7 linked regions of the Rattus norvegicus genome follow. The protein of the gene in region 1 purifies or fractionates together with the protein of each later gene. This does not show direct contact. Links are inferred from orthologs where the notes say so. Each region holds a gene or a part of one and is shown in the gene's direction. Other genes may lie near its edges.

What was found.
Region 2: the proteins of Myh9 (region 1) and Gsk3b purify together in Homo sapiens (affinity purification with western blotting; 4 studies listed by BioGRID, with this or other methods). This does not show direct contact. The link is inferred for Rattus norvegicus from reciprocal best matches to the Homo sapiens genes MYH9 and GSK3B.
Region 3: the proteins of Myh9 (region 1) and Ctnnb1 purify together in Homo sapiens (affinity purification with mass spectrometry; 3 studies listed by BioGRID, with this or other methods). This does not show direct contact. The link is inferred for Rattus norvegicus from reciprocal best matches to the Homo sapiens genes MYH9 and CTNNB1.
Region 4: the proteins of Myh9 (region 1) and Sptan1 fractionate together in Homo sapiens (co-fractionation; 3 studies listed by BioGRID and IntAct, with this or other methods). This does not show direct contact. The link is inferred for Rattus norvegicus from reciprocal best matches to the Homo sapiens genes MYH9 and SPTAN1.
Region 5: the proteins of Myh9 (region 1) and Usp11 purify together in Homo sapiens (affinity purification with mass spectrometry; 3 studies listed by BioGRID, with this or other methods). This does not show direct contact. The link is inferred for Rattus norvegicus from reciprocal best matches to the Homo sapiens genes MYH9 and USP11.
Region 6: the proteins of Myh9 (region 1) and Actb purify together in Homo sapiens (affinity purification with western blotting; 4 studies listed by BioGRID and IntAct, with this or other methods). This does not show direct contact. The link is inferred for Rattus norvegicus from reciprocal best matches to the Homo sapiens genes MYH9 and ACTB.
Region 7: the proteins of Myh9 (region 1) and Ube3a purify together in Homo sapiens (affinity purification with western blotting; 3 studies listed by BioGRID, with this or other methods). This does not show direct contact. The link is inferred for Rattus norvegicus from reciprocal best matches to the Homo sapiens genes MYH9 and UBE3A.

Annotation. Positions count from the first base shown.
Region 1 is NC_086025.1:111,227,926-111,232,070, reverse strand, and holds part of Myh9 (myosin-9), read left to right. Parts: intron 1-1,043; coding exon 1,044-1,256; intron 1,257-1,361; coding exon 1,362-1,574; intron 1,575-1,827; coding exon 1,828-1,989; intron 1,990-2,897; coding exon 2,898-3,026; intron 3,027-3,924; coding exon 3,925-4,013; intron 4,014-4,090; coding exon 4,091-4,145. UniProt on the Homo sapiens protein: Cellular myosin that appears to play a role in cytokinesis, cell shape, and specialized functions such as secretion and capping. Required for cortical actin clearance prior to oocyte exocytosis. Promotes cell motility in conjunction with S100A4.
Region 2 is NC_086029.1:76,058,939-76,063,083, reverse strand, and holds part of Gsk3b (glycogen synthase kinase-3 beta), read left to right. Parts: intron 1-2,948; coding exon 2,949-3,079; intron 3,080-4,145. UniProt on the Homo sapiens protein: Constitutively active protein kinase that acts as a negative regulator in the hormonal control of glucose homeostasis, Wnt signaling and regulation of transcription factors and microtubules, by phosphorylating and inactivating glycogen synthase (GYS1 or GYS2), EIF2B, CTNNB1/beta-catenin, APC, AXIN1, DPYSL2/CRMP2, JUN, NFATC1/NFATC, MAPT/TAU and MACF1.
Region 3 is NC_086026.1:129,516,251-129,520,916, forward strand, and holds the start of Ctnnb1 (catenin beta-1), read left to right. Parts: upstream 1-1,325; 5' UTR 1,326-1,467; intron 1,468-1,662; exon of another isoform or gene 1,663-1,791; intron 1,792-4,666. UniProt on the Homo sapiens protein: Key downstream component of the canonical Wnt signaling pathway.
Region 4 is NC_086021.1:33,687,130-33,691,274, forward strand, and holds part of Sptan1 (spectrin alpha chain, non-erythrocytic 1), read left to right. Parts: intron 1-321; coding exon of another isoform or gene 322-336; intron 337-1,727; coding exon 1,728-1,859; intron 1,860-2,057; coding exon 2,058-2,195; intron 2,196-3,289; coding exon 3,290-3,394; intron 3,395-4,145. UniProt on the Homo sapiens protein: Fodrin, which seems to be involved in secretion, interacts with calmodulin in a calcium-dependent manner and is thus candidate for the calcium-dependent movement of the cytoskeleton at the membrane.
Region 5 is NC_086039.1:4,029,323-4,033,303, reverse strand, and holds part of Usp11 (ubiquitin carboxyl-terminal hydrolase 11), read left to right. Parts: coding exon 1-165; intron 166-254; coding exon 255-413; intron 414-753; coding exon 754-978; intron 979-1,098; coding exon 1,099-1,182; intron 1,183-1,275; coding exon 1,276-1,370; intron 1,371-2,560; coding exon 2,561-2,767; intron 2,768-3,645; coding exon 3,646-3,695; intron 3,696-3,885; coding exon 3,886-3,981.
Region 6 is NC_086030.1:16,774,946-16,779,752, forward strand, and holds Actb (actin, cytoplasmic 1), read left to right. Parts: upstream 1-1,718; 5' UTR 1,719-1,790; intron 1,791-2,730; 5' UTR 2,731-2,736; coding exon 2,737-2,859; intron 2,860-2,946; coding exon 2,947-3,186; intron 3,187-3,652; coding exon 3,653-4,091; intron 4,092-4,181; coding exon 4,182-4,363; intron 4,364-4,487; coding exon 4,488-4,631; 3' UTR 4,632-4,689; downstream 4,690-4,807. UniProt on the Homo sapiens protein: Actin is a highly conserved protein that polymerizes to produce filaments that form cross-linked networks in the cytoplasm of cells.
Region 7 is NC_086019.1:119,261,525-119,265,669, forward strand, and holds part of Ube3a (ubiquitin-protein ligase E3A), read left to right. Parts: intron 1-462; exon of another isoform or gene 463-654; intron 655-1,183; coding exon 1,184-2,430; intron 2,431-4,145. UniProt on the Homo sapiens protein: E3 ubiquitin-protein ligase which accepts ubiquitin from an E2 ubiquitin-conjugating enzyme in the form of a thioester and transfers it to its substrates.

The DNA of each region.
Region 1 (4,145 bases):
GCAGAGCGGTGGGGTGGGCACAGCCAGGCCCCCCCAGTCTGCAGCTTCATGAGGGGCGTGGGGAGGAAGTAACCAGAAGGGGATTTAGGAGCAGGTTTTAGACGTTGGCCAGCCCTCCTTCCCCCATGGAGATGCAGACACTGGGGTCAGATGGAATAATAGTAAAAAAACAACTGGGTCAACACGTGGTAGACAAATCCAGTCCCTCCGCTGTGACTTAAAACTTCTGTTTGTCTTACACTTAGTCATTTAGTGTGTGTGCATGTATGCATGTGCTGAGGTCAGAGGGCAACTTGCACAAGTCCATCTTCTGTCATTTACCTGTGGAGCCATCTCCTGTCCCCATGTTTTTCCAGATAAAGTTTCATTGTATGTAGCTACACTTGTTTACATGCTGCCACTGGCTCCTAGTGTGATAAGTGGCAGAGCTGAATGGCTGCTTTGAGAGACTACAGCCTTCAACCTCTAAGTAATGTTCTTTATGAGAGGCCCAATCTGTGGAGCAGGTGAAGGTGGGCAGAGAACCTAGGAAGGCAGGGAGGTGAGGAATAGTGAGGGTGGGCCCCATAGAACAGGTACAGTGGTGCAGCCATCTTTGGAGAAGGACCACACGTGGGATTTAAGCTTTTGAGCACGGCTTTTCAGGAATGTGGGCATCCTCACTGGGTAACATAAATGAAGGACTGAGCAGAGAGATTGCAGAGATGTTCAGCTGCTAAGAGATGAGTTTCATTCCTATCACCCAGCAGTTCACAGCCACCTGTAACTGTGGCTCTATGAGGTCCAACATACTCTCCTGGCTTCTAGTGACACCAGCACATGCACATGTATGTGTACATGCACGTTTGTGTGTGCATGTGTGTGCACACACAGATGAAAGTCGTTAAAAATTTAAACAAAGATCAAAGTACAGTGTTACAGGAGTCCTTGCCGTCCCGGGAGCCAGCGAGCCCCTGGGTAGCAGCCTTGGGCCTGTTGGTCTGGGTCTGGCCGTAGGGTAGTGGTCTTCAGTCTCAGCCTCACAGCAAGACTTCTTTCCCTAGCTCCTAGCTGAGGAGAAGACCATCTCAGCCAAGTATGCTGAGGAGCGAGACCGAGCTGAGGCTGAGGCCCGTGAGAAGGAGACAAAGGCACTGTCACTGGCCCGGGCACTTGAGGAGGCCATGGAGCAGAAGGCAGAGCTAGAACGGCTCAACAAGCAGTTCCGCACGGAGATGGAGGACCTCATGAGCTCCAAGGATGACGTGGGCAAGAGCGTGAGTGCTGGGCTGGCGTCCTGGGTTCGGGGGAGCCTGGTGTGTGTGGTTGGAGCTCAGGGCCCCTAGCTGTTCGTGTCTGTAACTAACATGGGGCTCTGCTAGGTCCATGAGCTGGAGAAGTCCAAGAGGGCATTGGAGCAGCAGGTCGAGGAGATGAAGACCCAGCTGGAGGAGCTGGAGGATGAGCTTCAGGCCACTGAGGATGCCAAGCTCCGTCTGGAGGTGAACCTGCAGGCCATGAAGGCCCAGTTTGAGCGGGATCTGCAGGGCCGGGATGAACAGAGCGAGGAGAAGAAGAAGCAGCTGGTCAGACAGGTGCGTATGGCCTCCTCGCTATGGGGAGGGACACCAGGGACTGCATCTCTGTCCCCCTGTGCAACACCTGGGCCTCGGAGGGGCTCCTGGACCATTTTCCACTGCCTTGTTTCTCAGACTCTGTCTTAGGGCTCTGCAATTTTACTTTGTACTTTGTCTCGGGTGGCCCCATGGACAGCCCAGAACTGGTCTGAGCTCACCTGAACTCAGTGCTCAGCAGTGAGCGCTAAGCATGAGCCCTGCTGTTCCTCAGGTGCGGGAGATGGAGGCGGAGCTGGAGGATGAGAGGAAGCAGCGGTCCATTGCCATGGCTGCTCGCAAGAAACTAGAGATGGATCTGAAGGACCTGGAGGCTCACATAGACACAGCCAACAAGAACCGGGAGGAGGCCATCAAACAGCTACGGAAGCTTCAGGTGAGGCAGACCCAGGCTGGTCACAGATGGGGACAGGTAGAGGCTGGGAGTCGGGGCCTGTCTCACAGGTGAGGCTCGGGCTCAGAAGGGACACAGTAACAAGAGGGGGCTGAGTCCATTAAGTCAAGAGGAAAGGTAGCTGGACGTGCAGTAGAGTCAAGGATGGCGGCCACACACACTCAGGCTTCAGGAAGAGACCGGAGTGTTCAGTGATGGATGGTCTAAGCTGGTGGCTCTGAGAAGTGGCTCAGAGCTTGAGACATACACTTGGGAGCAGTTTTCACTCACCAGTGTGGTCAAAGACTAACATTAGTACAAACAGCTCTTGTGTGCCCATTCATGCCGAGTGTAGCAGCAGGAAGAAAGATTAACCATCACGTGGGCAAGGCTGTGAGCAAGAAGGTCAGCTTGCTGATGGCGTTTTTAAGAGTCACACATAACAGGAGTCACACTCTGCCCTCAGGGTGTATGCCATCGTGAGGCCTGTCTGCTTCAGATCAGGGGACAGGGGACCGAGCTCTCCGCTTCGTTGTTGCCTTACCTGGCAGGAAGCATACTTCGTGTCTTGTCCCTGCTTTTCCCTGGTCACTGACTGGACGTCATGGACGACACATTGGATGATGCCGCTGGCATTAGCTGCAAGCCAACAGGAAGTTAGAGCAGGCAGACGGGCCCAGGTTACACTGTGTGCAGGGGTCTGTGCCCTGAAGAGCCACCTTCTAAGTCTAGTCAGGAAGACAGACGTGCAGAGCCACTTGCCTTTGGTTACTTTTTTGCCTGTTTATAAAAAGGTTGGCTAAAACCATGCCAGGCGTAGAGCAGGTCACTGTTGGGGACATGGCCCCTTAAGGGGTCAAGACCCCGAGCAGGCGGAAGTAGTTGGCGATGCTGACGCCTCCTTCACACAGGCCCAGATGAAGGACTGCATGCGGGAGCTGGACGACACGCGAGCCTCCCGGGAGGAGATCCTGGCCCAGGCCAAGGAGAATGAGAAGAAGCTCAAGAGCATGGAGGCCGAGATGATTCAGCTGCAGGAGGTGGGCCAGCGGGGGATGCAGGGCCACTGCCTCTGGCCAGCAAGCGGCAGCCTGGGGCCTTTCCCTGTCCTTAGGAGTCAGCAGGGAGGGAAGGGCAGAAAGAAACTGAGCTGCACACCTTGGCATGGTGCATGGTGTGGTATGTTCATGTATGTGCACATCTGTAATGGGGAAGAGGGTGAGACGCAGCCTTCCATGTGGCTACAGACCCCGCCTCTCTTAAATGAATCTGTGACCCTCGAGTCCCCAGTTAATTTCACGAGCCAATGCTGAGTTGATTATGATTCTCTATCAACTGCGAAGGGCAAGGAGGGGCCTGAGTGCCCCCTGGGTGCTGTTTTAGTTACACAGGAACCGCGTGGTGGGGAGGGTGGGGTGGTGTTTCCAGGTCTGGAGGAAAGGGCCATCCTCAGTTCATGAGTGCTCAGTCAGACCCTCTGCCCTGGCATGGCTCTTTGCCCCTGCTGGGTCTGGGGTGACCCCTCCATTATCCCACCATGCATGGTGCTCTGGAGGCTTCCACAGCCCATCTGCTGCCCTTGGTGGGCACAGGACCCTGGACTCTAGCCTCCCTCATAAACCTCAGTATCTGGTCTGACCATGTGCAGAGGGACCAGCACTGCAGGTCTGTCTACACAGCCCTCCCTTTTGGGCTGGGCGTTTCCTGTTTATAGCCCTGGCTCCTGGCTTCACTCCAAGTTCTTAGACACAGGGGCTTTATAAACACAGGCCTACACTATGCCCTAGGGTGGACTTGACCTGAGAGCTTAGAGGAGCTCCTGGGAAAGGGCTTATGGAGGAACGGAGGAATGTGCTAAGGGCACAGAGAATGAGAGGGGGCTGTTGGCATTGAAGACTGTTGGTCCCAGTGGGTCATGTTCTGGTGTCCTTGTGATAGGAACTGGCAGCCGCCGAGCGTGCTAAACGCCAGGCCCAACAGGAGCGGGATGAGCTGGCCGATGAGATCGCCAACAGCAGTGGCAAAGGGTGAGCCAGAGAGGAAGTGCGGGGGTGCGGGGAGGACCTCAGTTGTTCAAGCGCTCACTTCTCCCGGTCCTCCCCAGGGCCCTAGCATTGGAGGAGAAGCGGCGACTAGAGGCCCGCATTGCCCAGCTGGAG
Region 2 (4,145 bases), on another chromosome or scaffold:
CCTCCACGTGCATATCCCATGTGTGTGCACACACATGCCCATGAGATAAAGGAATTGAATAAATATTCTGATAAAATATGGTAAAGCTTTCAAAGTTAAGGATTTTAACTGTGATAGCCATACACCTTTGGTGTGGTGTGGGGAGGGGAGCACAGGTGAATTCAAGCCAGAGTCAGACTCCTGCTTTCACCTTTACCTTGGGCTGACCTCTTCTTGGGCCCTGTATAAGCTTTTAGTTGGGTTTTGTCTTGGTCTCTCTTCCCACCAGTGGTGGGATGGCAGCCAAGTGCGCCTCGTCCCAACTTCATGCATGGTGCTGGGGAGTCAGGGTGAGGTTTCCGTGTTTGTACAGCAAACTCTTTTACAGCGAGGCGGCTCCCAGCCATAGCATCACTTTCGCTCTCAGTGTTTTCGTGTGCCACACACCACAAATACGTAAGTAAACTCAGTCTCCACAGTTCCCGTGTAGCATTCTATTACTGTTTATTGCATTCCTCATAGACATTTAAACTGCCCGTTTTAAGCAAACAGATTATATTATTTAGGTGTTGGAATCTCATATTAATCCCTCCCCCCCCTTTTTTTTTTCATGTAACTGTAGTTAGGAATTTATCTAGTATTTTTCTAATTGCAGTTGTGGTAGATGATGGGAAACTTTTTTTTTCTTTTTAGGTGAGAGATAGGGAAGGGGTGGATAGTGTATTGCCCTGTAGTTCAGACCACCCTGAAACTTTTGATACTTGTAGCAATCCTCCTGCTTCAGCTTCCTGAGTGCTGAGATTATAAGTGTGAGTTACCAAATCTAGTTAGGAACACATTTTTAATATGTGTGCTGTCAACTAGGTGCTGATTTTTTTTTTCTATTTCTCAGTGACAGCAATATAATTACCTACTTTACCCCACCCCTGACATAGAGCTGATGTGGTGACTGTCATAATGCTGCCACTTTCCACTGAAAGTCATTTAAAGCAGGGGTTAGGAGGGAGCATAGCTGAACTCTCCCCGGGATCCCGAGTAAATCATCGTATGGCCAAACTCTAATGGAGAGGAAGATTACTCATGTGTAAAACTGTGTGGGGTGTACTTCCTGAATGGGTCCAGATTTTTCCCAGCACAGGATTTAGTCCCTCTTTTTGTCCTTCACGGGTTTTCTAGCAGGTTCTAGCATCAGGTTGTGGAGCAGGCAACAATATAGAGATGCCATTCTTTTTTTAATTGAAAAAAATTAGTTAAAGGACAATGTATAAGTGCATAGGGAGTTGGATTTAATTTAATTCCAAAATGCTGACATTAAAGATGTTATGCCTACATTTTTGTCATGGTTCATTTTGAAGAAGGCTTTAACTTGGGTAGTGAGATTTAAATCAAAATTGAACCTGTCTAGCCTTAGCAGTTTTCTCATACCTCTGAAGGAAGTATTTCCTGTTAACATTAGTAATGCCAGTCCCTAGCAGTACAGTCGGAAAAGATGGTGTCTTTATCAGTACTTCTCCTGTTTTTTTAATCAGACAGTAGTAGTTTTGATTTCCATGGTATTAAGTAGGGAGTAGAGCTCAGAGAGTGAGCGTGTGCAACAGATTGGAGGTGATGATGCTGGAGAAGGCAGCACATGTCTATAATCTCAGCACTTTATAGACTAGAGGATGACAGGACCAGGGCCAGACTGTATTCCATGGGAGTCTGTCTTAGGAGAGAGGAAAAATGAAGGAAGAAGGAAGGAAGGAAGGAAAAGAAGCTTGGCCTCCAGATAAGTAGAAGATTAAAGGCGTTACATTGGTACATTTTTCAAAGCTTTAAAACAATCTCTTAAGATATTATTTCTCTGCTTGCTCTGATGAAATTCCAGACAAAGGCGACTCAAGGACAGAAAGGTTTATTTTGGCTTAATAGTTCTAGGGGATACTGTGCATCGTGGTAGGGAAGGCATGGTGGGCGAGCATGGGGCAGCTAGCCACATTCAGAGAGGATACACGGTGCGTGAGCTCCTTTTCTTCTCTTACTCAGTTCAGGTAGCTAGCCCATCGAATAGTGCAGATGCCCTTACAGACATGTCCAAAATTGTTTTCATCGATTCCAAGTACTCTCAAGCTGGCAGTTAAGATTTACCTCTGCAATGATGTCAAGTCAGCTAGACATCTGTTTGTGTGTGGTTTTTTTTTTTTTTTTTTTTTTTTTTTTTTTTTTTTTTTTTTTTTTTTTTTCTGTGTAACCCTGGCTCTCCTGGAACTCACTCTATAGACTAAGTAGGCCTTAAAACTCAGATCTGTCTGGGCATCTGCCTTTAAATTACATTGGAAGTCTACATTATTCTAAGGATGTTAAAGGCTAATTTACCATCCGAGTTACTGGTGTCTCAGTAGGAATTGATAAGATTACTTACTCATGAGCTTTCCTATGTCTCTCTTAATGATTTGAGGCTAACTTTTCAGAAAAACATTTCAGAAAAATGGTTCTAAAAGATGACACTGACTACATTTTTACAGCCTGAGATTCTAGGAAGAATGATGGATCTGCCTCCTAATCTAAAGGCTGCTGCTGTCTATCACCCATATGGCTTCTGATCTCTGTCTCTGTTAAGTTAAAACCCAGCTGGCCTGAGTGCAGGGCTGTGGGCATGCTAGGCAAGTGCTCTAGATCCCTGACTCTCTGAATCTTAGTGTGAGACCTGGTCCGACTTGCCCAGGTAGTTCTTAAACTTAGAATTCCCTGCCTCAGGTGTGTGCCCCCACACCTGGATGCTTTTCTAAATTACTGAAGGATAGCACAGGTATATATTTAATGATAGTTTAATTTCCTGATTTATGTAGAAATGCCATGAAACTTTGATTAGGGAAAACTGTATTGATAATCAACATTTTGCATGTTCTGCTGAGAACGTTATATACTGCATAATGACTCAGATGTGTTTGAAAGCAGGGGTATCGAGTGAATGTCTCTTCTTTTTCCAGTTGTATATGTACCAGCTGTTCAGAAGTCTAGCCTATATCCATTCCTTTGGGATCTGCCATCGAGACATTAAACCACAGAACCTCTTGCTGGATCCTGATACAGCTGTATTAAAACTCTGCGACTTTGGAAGGTGAGCTAGCCTCCTCTTCCCTTCCTTTCTTCCTCCTCCCTCCCTCACACTTTCTTAAATAGACTCCTGTAACAGTACTAGTCTGAACCGCACTCATTACTCGGTACTCGGGGAATACAAACTAATGAAGGTCCATGTCAGAATGGTTTTGATAATTTTATGGGAACAATAAATGTGTGTGCCCTTTATCCTACAGTTAACTTCTGAGGATTATTTCTTTATGCATATTTAGGGATCTTTAATACAGTGTTGCTTGCAAATATCTAGTAGCGAGAAAATGTCCAAATAAATTAATATATACAGATACAGTGTTACACATGCTGCTGAGGGAAAAGTGAGGGAGCTGTCTAATGTGGGAGTGATGTCTAGGAAGTACCAAGTGAGGAAGTCAGTCGGCAAAGGCACTTGCTTTCAAGGCTGGTAACTTGAGTTTGATCCCAGGGACTTAAGTTGTCCCGCCTGCCACAGGAGTGCTGGAATGCTAACATTCAGGCTCAAAAAGGCCGTGGCGGCACTTGCTGATAATTCCAGTCACTCAGTAGATGTGGGAGGTCATTAGTTTGAGGCTGGCCTAAGCCAGGTAGTGAGACCCTGTGCGAAAGGAAAGCCTCTGTCAAGTCAGTACTGTATGCATGGTAGCTTTTGTTTTAAAAACCCTTTTGTGACTAGTGTGCAAACACACATAACAAACATGGCTTATTCTGAGTTGATATGTAATACCTCATACACGATTGTCTGGGACGGGATGTTTGAGGATTATCGTGTACTTGGGAAACTTACATTCCCAATGACTGCTCTTTAGTATAAACTCCTTGAGCTTATGGAATACATATATCTGCTCCATCTTTATTACTAATAAATCTCTTAAGTTATACATTTGCATATATTCCTTTAACTTCACACTCAACCTCAATACAGGAGTGCAGTAAAATACAGAGAGGCAATATTTTTCTCTATTAATATTTACTATTAATATTTCCTCTATTATTTCCCCATTTTTGCAGATTCTAACAAGTATGATTTTTTTTTAAACCGCCGATTTCTTGGTTATATACTGTTGCTAGTG
Region 3 (4,666 bases), on another chromosome or scaffold:
ATTTTAAAAGCAGGACCTTAATCGAGTCGAGCAAATATTCTTTAACTCTGCATGTGACAATTAAAATTAGGGATTGGTGGCTGCAACCACCACTGGTAAAATACCTTTTCCTGACCCATCTCCCCGAGTCAGCCAAGTGAGCCCCAGCCAGCAGCAGAGTTGATTCTGTGGAAATCCCAGCAGAGCTGCAGAGGGGAAAGGTCTAGACAAAGGCCCTCACTGAGCAGCTCCTTCATGGTGGACTGTGGTGGTTCACAGAGTTACGGCGATATGTCTTTAAGATAGGAAATTGAGTCATTTAAAAAAGAAGCTGGCCGTACAGCCCTGGCCCTGCCTCAGTGGTTGCGCAGGCTTCCTGCCAGTACCTGTACATAAGGGCCTATTGTTTACTTGCGTTAATTACAGCGCAGGATGAAAGAAGGCAATAGGGCAACTTTCGCTGTTACCATTGTTTGGGAAGAGACACGAGCTCACAATAATAGACTGGAGACAGCCAATTCACCCCAACTGCACCAGTTTTGACAAGTGCCAAATCGTGGAGGACAACAATGAGGCCATTTCCAAGAGAAGACCCAACTTCAGCCTATTGTAATGATTCAGAAAAAAAATAATGCTCTCGAAGGATACTAAATTAGTTTTGAAAATTTTAAGAGGTTATCCACAGGTCCTCTCAGCAACACACTCGAGTTTCTCAAACAATACAGTAAAAATTGCAGTCCCTGGAAAACGTCCCCACTTCTGGTTCTGTAGACACTGACCCAGTGGGTCCGGGTAAGATGGGATTTCTAGGAATCACACTGATGAACAGGGCCGTGGAGCTGAATCATTTATTCTAGTTAGATGTCAGCAGTCACTCCTGGGGACTCCATGGCCTCCTGGGGTGGGGAGGAAAGGTGGCTGGGCTCCGAGATCCCTGTCCGGATTCTAGAGGCACGGCAGGAAGAGGAGCGGGACACTCCCGCGAACAGTGAAGTGTAGTGGGGTCCAGTGGTGGTTTAGGGGTGTGGCGGCCGAAGCCCCGGTGACTACAGTCTCGAACCTGCGCCAACAGTGGCCGCGCTCCACCCGGCCCGCAGCGACGGACCGCACTCGATCCCATTAGTTTCCACTGGAGCGGGGTCGGGACGCCACGCCCCGGCCCGGCCCCTCCCGGCGGCGCACGCGCAGAGCGACTCGGGCCGGCGGGGACTACTTTCCGCGGCCCGCCCGCGCCCCGCCCCTCGTCCTCGCGCGGCGGAACGCTCCGCGCGGAGCGGCGGCGGCAGGATACACGGTGCCGCGCCGCTTATAAATCGCTCCTTGTGCGGCGCCATCTTAAGCCCTCGCTCGGTGGCGGCCGCGTCAGCTAGTGTTCTGTGCAGCCCGCGGCCCGGGGAGGCGGAGACGGAGCACGGTGGGAGCCGAGCCGTCAGTGCAGGAGGCCGAGGCCGAGCGGGCGGCCGCGAGGGAGTAGCGCGCGGCCCCAAGGTACGGCGCGGCGGCGGGCCGACTCGCGCCGCGCCAGCGGGAAACTTCGCGGGCCGGGTGGCGGCGGGAGGCCGCGGGGACGCGCGGGCTGGGGCCGGGGCCGGGCGGGCGCGCGCCGGGAGCCCGGATGGACGGGTGGCCGCCGTGGGGGGTGGGGACCGCGGTTCGTGTCCCGGCTGGGGCCGCGGCGGGGGCGGGGTGGGCGGGGGCCCCTCCTCCGTGGCCCGCAGAGCCGGGGGACGCGGGACCTGGCACGCGTCCCCTCTGTCCCTCGTGGAGCACGCACAGATAGGTCTTTTTTTCCCCCCCTGCAACGATCTGACTGTGAGTTTGAATCCAAACAACTTTAAACCGTGGAGTCGCCAAACTTGGATGCGGCGTGCGGGATGCGTCGGGAGCGTGTTCTCGGAGGGTGGTGGCGTCCTGGACTCGCGTGGGGTCGGTGGCTGTGGGGCCGAGAGGTGCTGGCGGGAATTCGGGACCGTGGACGAGTCACCGGCCACTCCTGGGGGGAGGGTGTGCGCGGGACCCGAAGCCTGAGTTTGGGGGAGGGGGACTTGCCCTTAGCCAGTAAGTGTGGGGTCCGCCTCAAGTGTTTCTCCCCGGCGCGTTTGCTTTCTGGGCGAGATGGAGTGGCCAGAGCGCTGACCGCCAGGGCGTGGGAGCCTGGAGACTTGTTCTGAGTGTTGTTTGGGGGACCGGACTTGGAACCGACGCTCCAAGTTCGGTGCCCCAGGCCCGCTCCCGTGAGCCCGCTGGCTGCGGGGCAGCTTTGTCTCGGGCTCGGGTCTCCAGACATCTGTGGGCTCCCCTCCCCCGCGCCCCCCGCACCCCCCCCGCCCCCGGGCCTGAGCTCTGAATGGAGAGCGACTGGGCTGCTGGTATGCGGAGGTCGGCGAGAGGAAATCGAGGAGTGGTTTTAGTGAAACGAGAGCTTTGTGCCATGAATAATGGTGGCTTAGACCAGACAGCAAGCTGAAGAGACGGCAGCGTTGCCTTTGATAAAGTCTGCCTCATGTTTTTCACATGGCCAAGTTGTGAAGCATTTTGTCTGGGATTTAGGAAGCCATTTCTCTATTTACTTGAGGCTTGCAGACGTCTCGGTGCAGACTCCTCGTCCCGGGAAAGAGCTTGCCCTCTTGGTTCTGATTTAATGCTGCTTAAACTTGTAGCCTTTGCATTTCGATTTTGTATGTCGGGCTCAAACTTTACTTGAGTTAAGGTCTTCTGTTACATTTAGTTCATTTTCACCTTAAACATTCAGAAATCCCCCAATTAAAAAGAAGTACCTCAAGGTTTGTTTGAGGACGTCCTTTCTCAGCAGAAAACATTGATGACAGTGCTGGGGATAGTCATTCTGTGACCTAACCTTTGTCCTGAAGGCCGAGTCTGGACAAGGCCTTTAGCGGTGGCAGGGAAGTTGGAAACTTGTAGATCTTTCTCTACAACTAACCCTCCCAGGCTGAAGTCCTTGAGGAAGCAGGCTATCTGGGAAGCTTAGCTTGCCTGGGACAGAGTCCTGGGCCTCACGGTCTGCAAGAAGACCAACCTCAAGTCCAAGAAATAGAGTTCACCTGTCATCTGGTCATTTCTAGTAGATAGTCTAGAGCAGCGGTTCTCAGCCTTCCTGATGCTGCGACCCATTAACAGCTTCTCAATTGTTACAGTAACCCCAACCCCAAAATTACGTGCTTGCTGCTCCATAACTTGCTACTGTTAAGAACCATAATGCAAATGTCTATGTTTTCTGTGGTCTTAGGTGACCCCTGTGAAAGGGTTGTTGGACCCCCAGATTGAGAACATTAGTTTAGAGACTGAATATTGGGTATCAGATGTCTACAACTCGAGGGGAAGTGTCTCCTGCTGTAGTGACGATGGGACTAGATTGGGAATGAAGCTTTAGCACTAGTTTCAGAATGCCATTGGCGGGGTGGGGTGGGGATGAGAAGACAACTTTCTTAGTATTTTGAAATGTGTGCTCAGAAAAACTGGTGGAGCCCTTTTGCAAATAAATGCAGAGCAGAGCATGGCCAAGAGGCCTGTGCACACTGCAGGTGGGGGTGCAGTGGTGGGCCTACCATAGTCTGCTGCCATACTTTTAAGCAGGAAGTGGACAGTGAAAGTAGATGGAGTCAGATGAAATGCTAGTGCTGAGGTGAGGTCAAGGTCTCTGCCCATCACCTAGTGGTAAATTTTTAGTGTCCTTGGTCACTGGCTTGGTCAGAAACATACCTGCGGGATAAACTCCTGGTAAACAAGTATTCACAAACTCGTTACAAACGTACATACGTTTTAACTCCACTTTTTGTTTGTTTTGTGGCTCCTGTCAACTTGTTTGCTATTTAAAACAATCTCACTGAAGACATCTTTATGCATAGAGAGAAAATAGCTGAGCAGCTGCCTCAGTTCTGAGGCCTGTGGAGGCAGCCTCTGTCCTGAGACATGGTCAGCCATGAGATGCTTCTGTTCAGTAACACCATTCACGGTGTGATTCCTAGATCAGCTAACAGGTTTTACAAAATGGAAAGTGATTTATGTCAATTGGAAGTGGATCAGAACTTCTTTACGCTCCGGAAAAAGGTCTTCATTTCTTGTTACCTAAGAAAGCTGCCTATGTATGTATTCATTGCAAGACCGGGCTTCCCTTGGCTGGGAACCCAGATTTATCTGCGGGGGTGGAACTCTGGAAAAAAGCATCTAACCTTCCATGAGGAGAAAGACTTTTTAAAGGAAGTAGGCAGTCCTGCTAGGACTTAGCCACTGTTTTGGAACTTAGTTGTCTCTTTTAATTAAGACTCATTTCCCAGTTTCAATTGAGACGGCAGTGCTGTAGTCATGTCCAGCGCCCCCCGGTGGACAGAACACAGGTCACTTTTCCTTGTTCTCAGCAAGTTTGTGTGGAATGGATCCTGAAGACTGTAAGGTGAACCAGTTGTGCCAGTCACTAGACTGGCCTGGGACGGTAGCTGCCTCTCTGCAAGAGAGCAGTCTGTCAGGGCACATCTGCTTACAGTAGGAGCCCAAATGCTCAGGCGCCTCGGGGAGTACAGGAGGCTTGGCTATATTGAGGAGGTAGAGGTGAAATTCTCACAAGTTCCCAGTGAAGATCTGTCACTTTAAAATGCAAGTGCAGTTCCCTCTGGTGAACCAGGAGCAGTATTGGTGGTGGGAAGGTTGTCTGTGGCACACTGAGAGTGCT
Region 4 (4,145 bases), on another chromosome or scaffold:
GGGCTCCGGGACGCTTGCTCTGAGGCTCCTGGGGTGCCTTTGTTTACAGAGTAGAGCTGTTAAATGAGACTCCTTAAGGGAGTACGCCCATAAAACCATGTGCTCCATGGAAAAACTTAGAGAAAGTCACTGGGTCAGTAGAGCTATTTGAAAGCTGCTCCCTGCTAGACTCTAGACGTGCGAACATGTCTAGTGCACCTGCCCCTGTGCTGTTCCCAAGCGCTGAACTTGTGGGGAAGTGTGATTGGCAGAGCGAGGCTCTAATAGCTGAGGCATGTCCACATCAGTGTACTGAACTCTTCTTTCCATCTGTCTTTGTAGCTTTCCAAGCTGCTGGTAAGTTCTTTACACTTTTAAGAGTTCTGGGTGTTTGAGCTCTGGGACTTATGTTCTACTCTGTAGAGGACTGTTACTGTGGTTACATCTAGTCTGCTGGTGTCTATTCATCCATCATCAGTCTAATCTCCAGTCACTCCATCCAAGTGTCCCTGTGAGATGTGGCTTTCTCTGTTGTAATTAGCGTGCAGTCCCTGTCCCCGCCCTGTTTCATCATCCATGCAGGTTTTGTACTGCCGTGTTTGATTTGGGAGGCAGTGGTTGACCACTTCCTTTCAAGGGGTGCTTTTGAAAGTGGAATGTTTTCCTGGGTTCAAGTTGTCAAGGCCTGGGCAGGGCAGGTTAGCCTGGGGTAAACCGATGCTTACTCAGACTGGTGTCCAGAGATGCTGGCCTGGAGAACTGGAGTAGCAAGATGTGCTCCAAACCTAAGCAGGCCTTGTTAGGAAGGACATTAAAAGAGACACCTGTTCCACATGGCTTACCATGCCAGAACTGGGAGGAGGAAATAAGGCTGTAGAAGAGAGAGATTGAGTTCGGACCAACAGTGGTGAGAGTAAGCACTGGAGACGGCACTGCCAGGATCTGTGGATGAGATCTCTGAGTCCTAGTGCTGAGCCGCAGCCAGGACCCCCTCCCTGTAGCAGTCACTGCCTCTCAAGTGAAACATTGAGTGCAGAATTCTTGGCCAACTAAACTGTCTTGTTTTCTCTTAGTTTTCTTTCTCAGTAACATCCCTGAGACTGTTTCTCACTTGCCCTGTTTTTCACAGAATTTTGCTGTAGCTGCTGTATCCTCACAGTTACCTCTCTCAAGTGTTCTTAGGGACCCCCCCTCTCTCCACCTCCTCCCCTACCCCGATTTCTCTAAAAGGTAAAGCCCACCTGCCTTTTAGACTGGGTTTTAGCAGCCTCATGTTTTGACTGATGACAGCCACCAAATCTTCATTGACAGAGGAACTGTCTTCAGATGTGTTCCTGCTGTAGGTGGTGGGGTAGCCTATGTACATTACCAGTCAGGGGCTCTGTCCAGGAAGGATAAAGGCATGGGTTGACATTGGTACACAGTTAGATGCAATCAACTGAAATCAACCCCTCTATCTCATACAGAGTATAAAAAAGTACAAAATTTTGAGGCTTTGCTCCCAGCCTGCTAGTGAGCCGTTAGGACTGGCTTTTACCCCACTGCCCCTGACTAGTGCATTTCCCTTCCTGGCCTAAACCTACCTCTGCTGGGCTCCCATAGACCTCACTCCACAGCACCACACAAGCTGGGATGGCTTTCTGTCCACGCCAATGCTTGACTTATTCCTTACCTTCCCTCTACTCCTTTTCTCCTGAGCATCCCTTTGCCTTGAGGACTGCCTCTGAACTGTGGTTTGGTATTTTCAGAGCAAGCACCAGAAGCACCAAGCCTTTGAGGCAGAACTGCACGCCAATGCTGACCGAATCCGTGGAGTTATTGACATGGGCAACTCCCTCATTGAGCGTGGGGCCTGTGCTGGCAGTGAGGATGCTGTCAAGGTATGGTTTGGGGCCCATACTGACTCTAGAAAGAATGATAGCACTCTACCGTCCACTGGGCTACAGTCTCTGGAACTCAAGAACACGGTTCCTCTGATTGTTTCCACATCCTCTCTGATTGTCTCTGATTTGGGTCGTAGGGATGGGCCCTTCAGAGATTTTCCTATCCCAAGTGACCCCCCCCCATCTCTTCTTAAGGCCCGCCTGGCTGCCCTTGCAGACCAGTGGCAGTTCCTGGTGCAGAAGTCAGCTGAGAAGAGCCAGAAGCTGAAAGAGGCCAATAAGCAGCAGAACTTCAACACCGGGATCAAAGACTTTGACTTCTGGCTTTCTGAGGTAACGTGAGGTGGTTCTTGCTCCCTGTGATCAGGGGATTTCTAGGCATTTGGGTAGTGAATGATTCAGTCATCCAGACCAAATTATAAAAGGGGAACTGAACAGAAGTCCTCATCGTGTGATAGGTTCAGAGTGCTGCTAGGAATTGCTGAAACGGTGAGTAGAGACATTTAGAGTGGAAGCTGATTTCAGAAATTGCTAGATAGCAGACTTCTCCCCAAGGGAGTCTATAGAGGAAGAGGCTGGGCACGGGAGGTAGGCAGTTCCAGGAGCCTGCACCAATAGAACAAAGGACAGAGAGGAAGGGAGCCGGAGTCCAGGCTTGTATAGGAAATTGGCAAGCAGAAACTGGCAAGGGGGGATTTTAGAGACCACCACTGTGAACGTTTTAGAATCTCCCATCTGTATATATGCAAATTTTGTATGGTTGAGCTCGCACTGTCATTTTTCATTGGTATGTATGGAGGAGTGTTATCCCATGTCACTAAAATTCTCCCCCAAACATTTGAGAATGAGAGAGTCCAAAGAGTCTTACCATGATTTAAGCATTGCCGTCTGGCTGCCACTAAGGGGTTTCTAGAGTGCAGGCTGCAGCGGACCTCTTAGTACACTGCTCATCTGTGTCCTTGTACTCGGAGCTTCATTGCTGTAGCTTGCTGTGCTCTTGGCCCTGGCATTCAAGAGAAGGCTTGGGGGCTGTGCCTCCATCCCTACTCTGAACAGGCTCCTTAGTCATTTTGGACCTAACTTAGTGTGCAGAACTCCTTGGGGTACACCCTTAACCCCAGAAGAAGAAGAACCAACCAACCAATCAGGGTGGTGGTGGCCCAGACCTTTAACCCCAAAACTCAGGAGGCAAAGACAGGTGGAGCTCTGAGTTTGAGGCCAGTCTGGTTTACGGAGCGAGTTCTGAGACAGGCAGGACTACACGGAGAACCCTGTCTTGGAAACAAAAAGCAAAACAATAAAAAAAAAAAATTGAAGAACAAAACCAATGTTACGATTGAAAAGGCCTGGAGCAGCACCTGGCCACCCTGGGTTTCCCAGAACACTGCGTCCTGTAATAACATCTCCTGTTGTGCTGCCAACTGCAGGTGGAGGCTCTCCTGGCATCTGAAGACTACGGCAAAGACCTGGCTTCCGTGAACAACCTGCTCAAAAAGCATCAGCTGCTGGAGGCAGACATATCGGCCCACGAGGTCGGTGGGGTGACAGATGGAGGGGAGGGTGACTAGAAAGAACCCCAGAGTGTCCCAGGGTCTTCAAGAGAGATAGAGTTAAAGGAAGCAGAGTGATCCCCAGCACCCGAGGCCGCAGTTTGTGAGTGGGCTGGGTTCTTGGTTGTTCTCAGCCTGGGTTTCCACAGATCTTATCTGTAACTTCTAATCATTGTGAAAATTTAGGGGGAGGGCGGGCTGTGCCTAGAGACTTGGCTCAGTGGAACAGTAGAGTACGAAGTTAAAAGTGTACGCAGGGGCTGGGGATTTAGCTCAGTGGTAGAGCGCTTGCCTAGCAAACGCAAGGCCCTGGGTTTGGTCCCCAGCTCCGAAAAAAAGAAAAAGAAAAAAAAAGTGTACCCAGTCACACCCAGATCTTTATTTTGGAAGTAGGCTCTTAATGTATAGCTTTGTCTATTCTCAGACTTCTGTAATGTCCTGCCTCTGCCTCCCACATGCTGAGGTGACAGCACTTACATCACATCCATGGCTTTAAGTAATTCAAGCACTAGTTCTATAGTATAAGCACATTTGCATGAATGGTGATGGTTTTTCTAAGGGGACCGGGTGAGAACAGCATTGGTTACATGCATACAGATCTCTTAGTGGATATGTTACAGAGGAGGTCTGGACTTTACACACGTGAGTTTGGTTGTTGTGTGGTGTGATGGGCACAGCCAGGCTGAAGGGAGGGGGAATCAGATTCAGATCCTGGGAAACAGTTTCCCTCAGC
Region 5 (3,981 bases), on another chromosome or scaffold:
AATGTGCCACAGCTTACGGAGTACTTTCTCAACAACCGCTACCTGGAGGAGCTCAACTTCCGGAACCCTCTGGGCATGAAGGGTGAGCTTGCTGAGGCCTATGCAGATCTGGTAAAGCAGACTTGGTCTGGCTACCACCGCTCCATTGTGCCGAATGTTTTCAAGGTGTGTCTCAACCCCATGGGCTCCCTCCCACCATCCTTTCTCTTGCTTCTCTTATCTCATGCTCACTCTCCTATCTACTGTCTCTTCAGAACAAGGTTGGCCATTTCGCATCCCAGTTTCTGGGCTACCAGCAGCATGACTCACAGGAACTACTGTCATTCCTCCTGGATGGACTACATGAGGACCTCAATCGAGTCAAAAAGAAAGAATATGTTGAGCTATGCAATGGTGCTGGGCGGCCTGATCTGGTAGGCTACCCATTAAAGCTACATGGCCACTGCCTTAGGAAGTCTCTGGTTTCCCCAGTCTATCTAATACCTTACCATTTTCTCAATTCCCTTACTTTGACCTTCACCTCAACCTTAGTCATAGCACTAAATCTGTCCCCATACCTATCTTAGAGTTAACTCCAGTCAGGCTCCTGTCCTTCATGCAAAATGCCAGCTCTGAAAGGGAACATGGGTTCCAGATAGATCTAGCTGTGACCCTGCCACTAGGCTTCAACAGAGTCCTTTACCTCAAACCCCTATGAGTCCATCCCCAAACTTTCCCCTCTTCCCCTAACCTACCATGACATTTGTTCAACAGGAAGTGGCTCAGGAAGCCTGGCAGAACCACAAACGACGAAATGATTCTGTGATTGTGGACACTTTCCATGGCCTCTTCAAGTCTACACTGGTGTGCCCTGATTGTGGCAATGTTTCTGTGACCTTTGACCCCTTCTGCTACCTCAGTGTCCCACTGCCTGTCTGCTCCAGGAGGGTCTTGGAGGTCTTCTTTGTCCCCATGGATCCCCGCCGCAAGCCAGAACAGGTGGGGTTATGGGAACACAATGAGGGACATTAAATCAGAATTTGATTGCCTTCCTCAAGCTTTTCTATATTAACCTACTATAAGTTCCTTTGATCTTCTGTGGATGTTATTTCTCCTCAGCACCGGGTTGTAGTCCCTAAGAAGGGCAATATCTCAGATCTGTGTGTGGCTCTGTCCACACATACAAGTGTTGCACCAGATAAGGTAAGACTTTGAAGAGGGAGGCTGGGCAGGTAGGGTTTAAAGGAAAAAGAACCTTGCACACTGACTGTCCCTATGTCCTTTTCCTATTACCAGATGATAGTAGCTGATGTCTTCAGTCACCGATTCTATAAGCTCTACCAGCTGGAGGATCCTCTGAGTGGCATCTTGGATCGTGATGATATCTTTGTGTAAGTGAGGAAACCGATACGAATAAATAGAGGATGGTTCCCCCACCTTTTGTTTTGCCCTACTGGGGATAGAACCCAGAATGCACAAGCATGTTAGACAAGTACTCTTAACATTTGAGCTACACTTACAGTTCAATACATATATATACTCATAAGTATATATAATATATACAATACTTTTATAAGTGTAGAAAATAAACATGAATATATATAAGTATATATAATATTTATATCTATATAATAGATCTGTATCATGAGAGAGAGAGATGGTCTCTCTGTGTAGCCCTGGCTGTCCTCAAACTTAGAGATTCATCTTGCCCCTTCCTCCCAGGTGCTGGGATTAAAGGTGTATGCCATTATGTCCAACAACCTGCTCCGATAAAAATGTATTCATTATTTATTTAGAGCCCAAGCTCCCTGCATATTGGGCAAGTGCCCTATCACGGAACTATGCCCTGCTTCCCACAACAGTTTTTAAATTTGGAGCAACTAAAATGGTGTGAGTAGAAATTTTCTTTGTAAATGAGTGTTTTCCACCAGAAAATGTTTCCATCCTTGTTTTTATTACTCTCCTCCAAGCATTTCCATGTTAGCAAGGCTCTTCCTCAAACGGCATATAAAAAAAGTGCTGTGGAAGTTGTCTGGTAGTTTATAAAATACCAAGTCCTTCATGGATTTTCAGACCCTTTAAAATATTTTGGGACAAGGCTAGACAGAGGACTAGCCTCTTTCAGAGGATCCAAGTTCAATTCCCAGCACCTACATGGAGGCTCACAACCATCTGCAACTCCAGCACCAGGGATGCCCTCTTTTGGCCTTTGCAGTCACCAGCACACATGTGATACATAGATGTACATACAGGCAAAACACTCATACACATAAAATAATGATAAAATACTTGGGGGAGGCAGGTAGAATGGCTCAGTAGGTAAAAGCACCTGCACAAACCCTGACAACCTGAATCCATGATGAGGGAAGGAACTGACTCCTGAAAATGTATTCTGATATCCACATGTGTATGTATCATACATGTGTATACTCCCTACAAACACACACAGACACTAATAATTCAAATGAAAATAACTCATAGTTTTTTGGACTGAGATGAATGGATGAAGCAACTGAGGGTTTATCTTTCTTGGGATGCCTCAGTCAAGAAAAAATCTAACTACTCCCCCTAACACACACAGATATGAGGTGACTGGACGGATTGAGCCTGTTGAGGGTTCAAGAGATGATATTGTGGTTCCTGTTTACCTGCGGGAGCGCACCCCGTCCAGAGACTACAACAACTCCTACTACGGTCTGATACTTTTTGGGCACCCTCTCCTGGTGTCAGTGCCCCGGGACCGGTTCTCCTGGGAGGGCCTATATAACATCTTGATGTACCGGCTTTCGTAAGTACCATTTTTCTAGGGGCAGGGAGAAGTGGATTTGAGGTAGGGGACCAAGGTCAGTACTCAGACTTCAGTTCTGAGTTGCTGTTTGGCACAGCCAAAGGATAGTTCAAATTGAACATGTCAGTAGGCTTTGCAGGGATTTTTCTTTTTCTAGACCTCTGGCTTCTCTAGTGCTTCTCTTTGGTCCTAGGAATACAGAGGTAGACAAGAAAAAGTAGAGACAACTTCATTTTGTATTTAATTGTCTCTACAGAGACATTTGGATGTAGTTTTATCCTTTTACCTAAAGTCTACAGTCCTTACTATGGAAGGCAAGAAAAGCTATATTATCTGGATTAATGCTTTATTCTAATTCAAAAGGCTTCTTTGACATTAATTCATAACTGATTGTATATCAGCTTTAGAATGTAGGCCCCGGGGTTGGGGATTTAGCTCAGTGGTAGAGCGCTAGGCCCTGGGTTAGCAACCGCAAGGCCCTGGGTTCGGTCCCCAGCTCTGAAAAAAAGAAAAAAAAAAGAATGTAGGCCACTACTGGTGTTTTCATGCACTGCTGTTTTACCACTTCCCAGGTTCATGATTAAGAACTGCTAGGTTTGGTGGTGCATTCCAGCTACTTGGGCAGCTGTGCCAGGAGAAGCCACATAGGGCTAGCTTGAGTAACTTACCAACACTATCTCAAAATTAAAATAAAATCAGAAAAGTGTTGGGAATGTATGAAGCATTCACATGGCATTTTAAAAAACAGACAGATTGGGGGTGGGAGGGAGACTTGCATGTGTGTGTCCTGACTTCTTGACCATACTACCAAGTAAAACTTTGGGATGCCCCTCTACCCTTGTGCCCCTGCCTTGGGAGTTTTCTCTGCTCTATTACAGACGATATGTGACCAAACCCACCTCAGATGACGATGATGGGGATGAGAAAGGTGAGTCCCCTAAAAGCTGAGAAGTGAGAGAGGCCCAATAAAGATGAGTGTATCTTACATAACAGGGGTGAAGGGCTGAGAATCCCTTTTGGGGGATATATATGACACACACAGGCTCCTCCAGATATGTGTTGAAGCCCAGTTCCCTGGAGTACCCACATTTTGATCTCTGACATTCTCCCTATCCTAGGTGATGAGAATGAGGATGAGGATGTCGAAGATGACAGCAGCAGTGAAGAAGAAAAGGAGGAAATGTCTGGACCTACCGATAATGATGGTACCCAAG
Region 6 (4,807 bases), on another chromosome or scaffold:
ACATTCTGGCCTCTCCTTATTGACAGGCAGCGTTTGCCCTGCCCCACCCCCACCTGTGAATTGCAGGACTGGCAGGTCCTTAGGCAGCTGGCAAACTGCCTGAGCAACTGAGAGATACAAGGCCAGGGCCAGGGCAGTCCCATCCCCCGGAGGCAGGGAGGGGACAGCCTGGGAAAGTTCTCTCAGGGTTGGCGACTGCAGAAGACTTTTGTCAAATCTTTTTTTTTTTTTTGTGTGTGTGTGTGTGGGAAAGATAAAGTCGCTCTGAACCTGGGGGTGTGTTTCCAGTATGCTGGAGTGGTGGTCACCCTTTCCAGACTGGAGGCCTCTGCAACTTCAAAATGCCCTGCCACAAGCCTAGAACAAGGAAGCTGGTCTGGCCTCCTCATGCACAGCCACTGTAGCCCATATATGGATGAAGCCTTCCTTGGTTTCAACACCTACACTTTGTGAGCCAGTGCACACCTACTATGCATGTGTAAAGCCATGGCAGGTCCAGAGCATCCCACCTGAAGCATTCTCCTTGCCTAAATATAGCTTTCTGTCACTCTCTCCCAGGAGTTGTGCGTCCTTCTAAGCTAAGCTGAGGGACCCGACCCTCAACTCTGATCCCCTGCTGTAGCTATCAGCCAAATGGCTAGCTTCCTGAGCAGAACTCTCCTACTTAGGTGAGGAGAGCAGGGGGTTCTTCTCTCTGGAGGATTTGGGGCTCTGGTGACCACCAGCACTTCCCTGAGTAGTTTGTCACTCCCAGAGTCCCCGTGGCCAGCAGATGAACAGTTCAGTGTACAGTTCAGCTGTGGCTGCACATAATACATAGAGGCTAGATGGTGGGCTCCAGCCCAACGATGCCTGGCAGTCACCCAGAGCCACTAGCTAACGGCCCAGGCTTAGTCTTGCCTGGGTGTGATCAGGCAGCCCTCCAAAAGTGCCGGACTCCATGAGAAGTTTTGCTTGTTCGATTGAGCACAGTTCCTTTCTAGGTCCGGGGCAGAGGATATCTGGAGGCATCTTCCTGCAACAAACACCTCCAGTCACTGGACCACCGGGGCTTGCCCTATCCTTGGGACTCTGGCCTTGAGTGGTCAAGATCCCTGAAGACCTTCCCAACCACAGCTCTGCTTCCAAGTTGTACCCCAACACACCTAGCAAATTAGAACTGCAGCAGAAGGCCCCCAGATCTGGCTTTCCTGACTATTGCTAGCAAGGGGGAGTGACTCTCTGCCCATTCAATCCAGACCCCGTGTGTCCCTCAAACAAAAGGCCACTCAAATAGGGTCCGGGCCTTCAAGCTGACCCTCGCCCACTTAGGTGATCATTATTCCCGTGACATCCACACCCAGAGGGTCCTGGGGTGGGTGGGTGACCCCCAGAATACAGGCCTAGTAACCGAGTCACTGAATGGGATAGTGTCCACAAGGGCGGGGGCTATTCTTGTCCATCTGGGCCTACGGAACCAGCACCCATCGCCAAACTCTTCATCCTCTTCCTCAATCTCGCTTTCTCTCTCGCTCGCTTTTTTTTCTTCTTTTTTTTTTTTTTTTTTTTTTTTTGCAAAAGGAGGGGAGAGGGGGTAAAAAAATGCTGCACTGTGCGGCGAGGCCGGTGAGTGAGCGACGCGGAGCCAATCAGCGCCCGCCGTTCCGAAAGTTGCCTTTTATGGCTCGAGTGGCCGCTGTGGCGTCCTATAAAACCCGGCGGCGCAACGCGCAGCCACTGTCGAGTCCGCGTCCACCCGCGAGTACAACCTTCTTGCAGCTCCTCCGTCGCCGGTCCACACCCGCCACCAGGTAAGCAGGGACGTCGGGCCCAGCGGGCCCCAACTTTACCTTGGCCACTACCTCGCTGCAGGATCGTGAGGAACACTCAGAAGGGACACCGTAGAGGGGTGGAGCGTGGTACCGGGCCGCGGAGCGGACACTGGCAAAGCTTAACTTTCCGCCTAGGGTGTAGAGTGTTTGCAGTCGTATTCCCGCGGTGTAGACACTCGTGGGCACGCTCCTGCTTGGTGCGCGGGGCTTGGGGACACACTAGAGTCGCGGTGTGGGCATTTGGAGAGCCGGTGCGGCTTGCGGGTGTTAAGCCGCATCTGTCCACCTTGAGGGGACACAGTATTGGGAGTCAGGCGTTACAATCACGCTTTGATGGCCTATGGGTCTTTGTCCAAACCGGTTTTGCCCATTCGGCTTGGCGGGCGCGGCGGGGCCGGCTCGGCCGGGTGGGGGCTGGGATGCCATTGCGCGTGCGCGCTCTATCACTGGGCATTGGGGCGCGTGCGCGCTGGGGAGGGAACTCTTCCTCTCCCCCTCTTCCGAGTTAAGAGTTGCGCGTGCGTATTGAGACTAGGAGCGCGGCCGCCCCGGGTTGGGCGAGGGCGGGGCCGTTGCCCGGAAGGGGCGGGGTCGTAGCGGCTAGGGCGCCTGCTCGCGCTTCCTGCTGGGTGTGGTCGCCTCCCGCGCGCGCACTAGCCGCCCGTCGCCTCAGTGTAGGCGGGGCCTGTGCCCGTTTGGGGAGGGGGCGGAGGCCTGGCTTCCTGCCGTGGGTCCGCCTCCGGGCCAGCGTTTGCCTTTTATGGTAATAATGCGGCTGTCCTGCGCTTCCTTTGTCCCCTGAGCTTGGGCGCGCGCCCCCTGGCGGCTCGAGGCCGCGGCTTGCCGGAAGTGGGCAGGGCGGCAGCGGCTGCTCTTGGCGGCTCCGCGGTGACCATAGCCCTCTTTTGTGCCTTGATAGTTCGCCATGGATGACGATATCGCTGCGCTCGTCGTCGACAACGGCTCCGGCATGTGCAAGGCCGGCTTCGCGGGCGACGATGCTCCCCGGGCCGTCTTCCCCTCCATCGTGGGCCGCCCTAGGCACCAGGTAAGTGACCCTTTACTTTGGGAGTGGCAGCCCTAGGGTTTTCTTGGGGGTCGATGCCAGTGCTGAGAACGTTGTTCTCCTCCGCAGGGTGTGATGGTGGGTATGGGTCAGAAGGACTCCTACGTGGGCGACGAGGCCCAGAGCAAGAGAGGCATCCTGACCCTGAAGTACCCCATTGAACACGGCATTGTCACCAACTGGGACGATATGGAGAAGATTTGGCACCACACTTTCTACAATGAGCTGCGTGTGGCCCCTGAGGAGCACCCTGTGCTGCTCACCGAGGCCCCTCTGAACCCTAAGGCCAACCGTGAAAAGATGACCCAGGTCAGTATCCTGGGTGACCCCTCCCCTCTATTGGGCCAACTTCTCAGCCACGCCCTTTCTCAATTGTCTTTCTTCTGCCATTCTCCCATAGGACTCTCTTCTATGAGCTGAGTCTCCCTTGGAACTTTGCAGTTTCTGCTCTTTCCCAGATGAGGTCTTTTTTTTCTCTCGATCGCCTTTCTGACTAGGTGTTTTAAACCCCTACAGTGCTGTGGGTGTAGGTACTAACAATGGCTCGTGTGACAAAGCTAATGAGGCTGGTGATAAATGGCCTTGGAGTGTGTATTCAGTAGATGCACAGTAGGTCTAAATGGAGCCCCTGTCCTGATACTCCCAGCACACTTAACTTAGCTGTGTTCTTGCCCTCTTTGCATGTCTCACTCAAATCTATCCTTACAGTCTCACCTGCCCTGAGTGTTTCTTGTGGCTTTAGGAGCTTGACAATACTGTATTCCTTTCTCTACAGATCATGTTTGAGACCTTCAACACCCCAGCCATGTACGTAGCCATCCAGGCTGTGTTGTCCCTGTATGCCTCTGGTCGTACCACTGGCATTGTGATGGACTCCGGAGACGGGGTCACCCACACTGTGCCCATCTATGAGGGTTACGCGCTCCCTCATGCCATCCTGCGTCTGGACCTGGCTGGCCGGGACCTGACAGACTACCTCATGAAGATCCTGACCGAGCGTGGCTACAGCTTCACCACCACAGCTGAGAGGGAAATCGTGCGTGACATTAAAGAGAAGCTGTGCTATGTTGCCCTAGACTTCGAGCAAGAGATGGCCACTGCCGCATCCTCTTCCTCCCTGGAGAAGAGCTATGAGCTGCCTGACGGTCAGGTCATCACTATCGGCAATGAGCGGTTCCGATGCCCCGAGGCTCTCTTCCAGCCTTCCTTCCTGGGTAAGTTGTAGTCTCATCCCTTCTCCATCTAAAGGTGACCAATGCTGGAGGCCACACTGTAAGTCTGATCTCTCTTGCTTTTCCTTTCAGGTATGGAATCCTGTGGCATCCATGAAACTACATTCAATTCCATCATGAAGTGTGACGTTGACATCCGTAAAGACCTCTATGCCAACACAGTGCTGTCTGGTGGCACCACCATGTACCCAGGCATTGCTGACAGGATGCAGAAGGAGATTACTGCCCTGGCTCCTAGCACCATGAAGATCAAGGTAAGCAGCCTTAGCCTGGACCCATAGTGGGGTGTGGTCAGCCCTGTAGTTGTAGCCAACTCTCTTGGCTTAAGGAACAACCCAGCATCCAGAATGCTCACAATCACTGTCTTGCTTTCTTCAGATCATTGCTCCTCCTGAGCGCAAGTACTCTGTGTGGATTGGTGGCTCTATCCTGGCCTCACTGTCCACCTTCCAGCAGATGTGGATCAGCAAGCAGGAGTACGATGAGTCCGGCCCCTCCATCGTGCACCGCAAATGCTTCTAGGCGGACTGTTACTGAGCTGCGTTTTACACCCTTTCTTTGACAAAACCTAACTTGCGCAGAAAAAAAAAATGAGACATTTGGCATGGCTTTATTGTTTTTTTGTTTTTTGTTTTTGTTTTTTTAAATTTTTTTTTTAAAAAGGTTTTTTTTTTTTTTTGTTTTGTTTTGGCGCTTTT
Region 7 (4,145 bases), on another chromosome or scaffold:
AGTTTTGTAGTATATACAGTTCAGTGCTTTGTGGTTTATGTTTTGGAAGCCATTCTATTAATGAGGACTTGAATTTTATATTGTCTCTTACTGTTGAATAGGTACCTTTAATAAATGTACCAATCATAGTAAAGATATTTATGTGTTAGACATATTATCAATGTATGGGATATATTGTCAATGTAAATAAAAAAATTAAACTACCTTCAATGTTTAATTTAATAATTCTAGTGTGCTACTCTTTGATGAAAGAGATTAAGTTTGGCTTCAGCATTATTATTTGATAAATATATTAATTTGTAAGACTTTAGTATATAAAATGTCATCTTTTCCCAATTAGATAAAATATCTTTTGTTTTGTTAACGAAATGGTAAAGCCTTTGTTGAAAGTAATTTCCCTAAGCTAGGAGATTTATGGTCCAAATCTGTTCCTGGGAGAAAAATAGATATGAATTTTGGTGCTTGTGGTCTTTACTCTCTTAGCTTCTTCCTTTTATTTGTTTTTGAATGACTGTAATAATTTCTAGTTGCTCTGTTAAGAGTTATTAGAACCCAAATAATGGTCATAGGTAGTAGTAGCTGTAGTAGCAGTTTTAACTTCAGTAGAGTTTACTTGAGTAGTAATATCTTTTTCTCAGCTTCAGAATGAAAACTCTGGAAGAAATGAAGAATACATAACATGAGTCAGTTTGATTTTACGATATACAAAAGTATAGAAAGAGTTGATTGCAAATGAAGGGGTTGAGGAAACCTTGTAAAACCTTGCCTCCTTAGTTTTTTGAGAACAATGTAAAGGAAAATGATTTTAGGTTATTAGCATAGTAGCTTTTCGGTAAGGTTGTAATAAAGTACAGTGATGAAATGATAAATATATATATTTGTTCATATCTACAATAAATGTTACATACCAGTACATGTCTCGGTTACAAGGCAAGTCTTAAATTACCAATGCATAATTAATAATTATATGTTGAATGAGTGCCAAAGAAAGGGTGAGGTTGTTGGGATTACTTAAATAAAAAAGGAGCTGGTGATTTTAGGGTGTTAATAAGTAAATTACATTTTTTTAAAAATTCTAAATCAAATTCAGAATGTTTAGATATTTTATTTGTTCAGTAAAAATTATAACAAAATAAACATGTATATTATAATAATAAATGTTCTTTTTCTTTCCATTTTCTAGAGGTGGACTACCTAACTGAAGAGAAAGTATATGAAATTTATGAATTTTGTAGGGAGAGAGAGGATTACTCCCCTTTAATTCGTGTAATTGGAAGAATATTTTCTAGTGCTGAGGCACTGGTTCAGAGCTTTCGGAAAGTCAAACAGCACACTAAGGAGGAATTGAAATCTCTTCAAGAGAAGGATGAAGACAAGGATGAAGATGAAAAGGAAAAAGCTGCGTGTTCTGCTGCTGCTATGGAAGAAGACTCAGAAGCATCTTCTTCAAGGATGGGTGATAGCTCACAGGGAGACAACAATGTACAAAAATTAGGTCCTGATGATGTGACTGTGGATATTGATGCTATAAGAAGGGTCTACAGCAGTTTGCTCTCTGATGAAAAAATAGAAACTGCCTTCCTGAATGCACTTGTATATCTGTCACCTAACGTGGAATGTGATTTGACATATCATAATGTGTACACTCGAGACCCTAATTATCTCAATTTGTTCATTATTGTAATGGAAAATAGGAATCTCCACAGTCCTGAATATCTGGAAATGGCATTGCCGTTATTTTGCAAAGCTATGAGTAAGCTACCCCTTGCAGCTCAAGGAAAACTGATTAGGCTGTGGTCTAAATACAGTGCTGACCAGATTCGGAGAATGATGGAAACATTTCAGCAACTTATTACCTACAAAGTCATAAGCAATGAATTTAATAGCCGAAATCTAGTGAATGATGATGATGCCATTGTTGCTGCTTCAAAGTGTTTGAAAATGGTTTACTATGCAAATGTAGTGGGAGGGGACGTGGACACAAATCATAATGAGGAAGATGATGAAGAGCCTATACCTGAGTCCAGTGAATTGACACTTCAGGAGCTTCTGGGAGAGGAAAGAAGAAATAAGAAAGGTCCTCGAGTGGATCCACTAGAAACCGAAATTGGCGTTAAAACTCTAGATTGTCGAAAACCACTTATCTCCTTTGAAGAATTCATTAATGAACCACTGAATGATGTTCTAGAAATGGACAAAGATTATACTTTTTTCAAAGTTGAAACAGAGAACAAATTCTCTTTTATGACATGTCCCTTTATATTGAATGCTGTCACAAAGAATCTGGGATTGTATTATGACAATAGAATTCGCATGTACAGTGAAAGAAGAATCACTGTTCTTTACAGCCTAGTTCAAGGACAGCAGTTGAATCCATATTTGAGACTTAAAGTCAGACGTGACCATATTATAGATGATGCACTTGTCCGGGTAAGTTTGACTATTATTTAAAATTGGACTTAAACTAAAAGCTGCAGAGTGTTATATTTCAGTGAATTCTTTAACTTTGAATAAAAAAGATAGAATCATGTTAACATTTCTGATTTATATTACTCCAACTTTGTTGCTACTTACCAAAAATATTGGTATCTTGGTTGTCTAATGATAATTTTCTTTTGAACAAGAATAAATTTTCTAGGGTTGGGGAGATGACTCACTGGATAAACATTTTGTTGTGCAAACATGAGGGCTTACGCTTGGATTTCTTGAACACATGTAAAACAGGATATGATAGTTCCATTTGTAATACTACTTTCTAAAGCAAGATAGAAAGTAGAGACAGAAGAATCCTCAGAAGCTAACCTCATATGTAAACTGAAAAATAACCAGACCCTGTCTCGGTAGAAAGCAAACACTAATACTTGACGTTCTCTGACCTCCACACAAATATTTCCCCCTTTTGGCCTTTACACACACACATATGCATACACATGCATACACATGTGCATACTGACAGGCACAAAACAAACAAAAGGAATGGATTTTCTAAATCTTGAAAGCCAGCCTTACACGTTTCCATTAAGAAGAAAAGATTTGTTTTCAAAGATTGGAACACATGACAAATGGTATTGTTATACCCAATGTTAAGAATGGAAGTAGGTGTAATTGGAAGAAATAATACAATAAATCTGTATTGTAAAAGAATTAAAAACTGCTCATCAAATTCCTTTATGTAGAATACAACTCAGAGTTGTATTGTGAACTTGATGATATGACCAGGAAAGGTTAGTCTATGTTAACTAGTAAGTCTTTGGAGTTCTAAGCCACCCAGTATCTTGTTTGACACTGTAGGATTTTTTTTTAAATAATAATAATAATTATGTGAATTTTAAAACTAATGTAAAATAGCTATTTTTGTGACTTGGAATTAATATTAATAGTGTTAGTTAAATCTATATGATTTAACTGGGAAGTCAGGAACTTCTAACTGCCTGTTTCCCCCCTCCCTCCCCCACCAAATGATATTGCCTCTTGTCTGTTCCTTCTTTCCACAGATGACAAGAATTGCAGAGTCCGTATCAGTTAAACCAGAAAATTGGTTTGGAAATTGCCAGTCATATGTTAACAAAATTATATTTAAGGAATTCAGGGTATTCCTTGGTATTAATTATTCTTGTTAGTGCTAGTTCTTTTTGTTTAACTTGATGTAAGATTTAGTACCAGTTACAAATGAAGCATCATCCTTATATTCTAACAAATTATAACCCATTAATGAATAACTAACATACTAGTTATTTGAACATTTATCTTTGGGGTGGATTTGTCTAAATATGAAAAGCCATAAGATTGGACTAAATCCACATTTAATAGAAAAATTATGCACCTGTCCTTCCTGATTTTTTTTCATTATTTTCTTCTTATATTCTTATATTCTTTTTTTTTTCTGTAATAAAGGTATTGGATTAAGAGCCAGTAAAAGCTTAGATAGTATTAATAAATTTTTTAAATTATCATAATTAGCCCCTTATTTTCCTAATGAATTGTTGGAGTAAAATTAACAGTTAAGCCTTGTAATTATGCTAACAAACTGTTGCTAGTAAATACCATTTAATTATGTCAACTGGTCATATGGTTTGACACATTATAAATTGTGATTCCTTTGATAATATCCATACTTGACTAGTACCAGTTTAAACAAGCCCTGG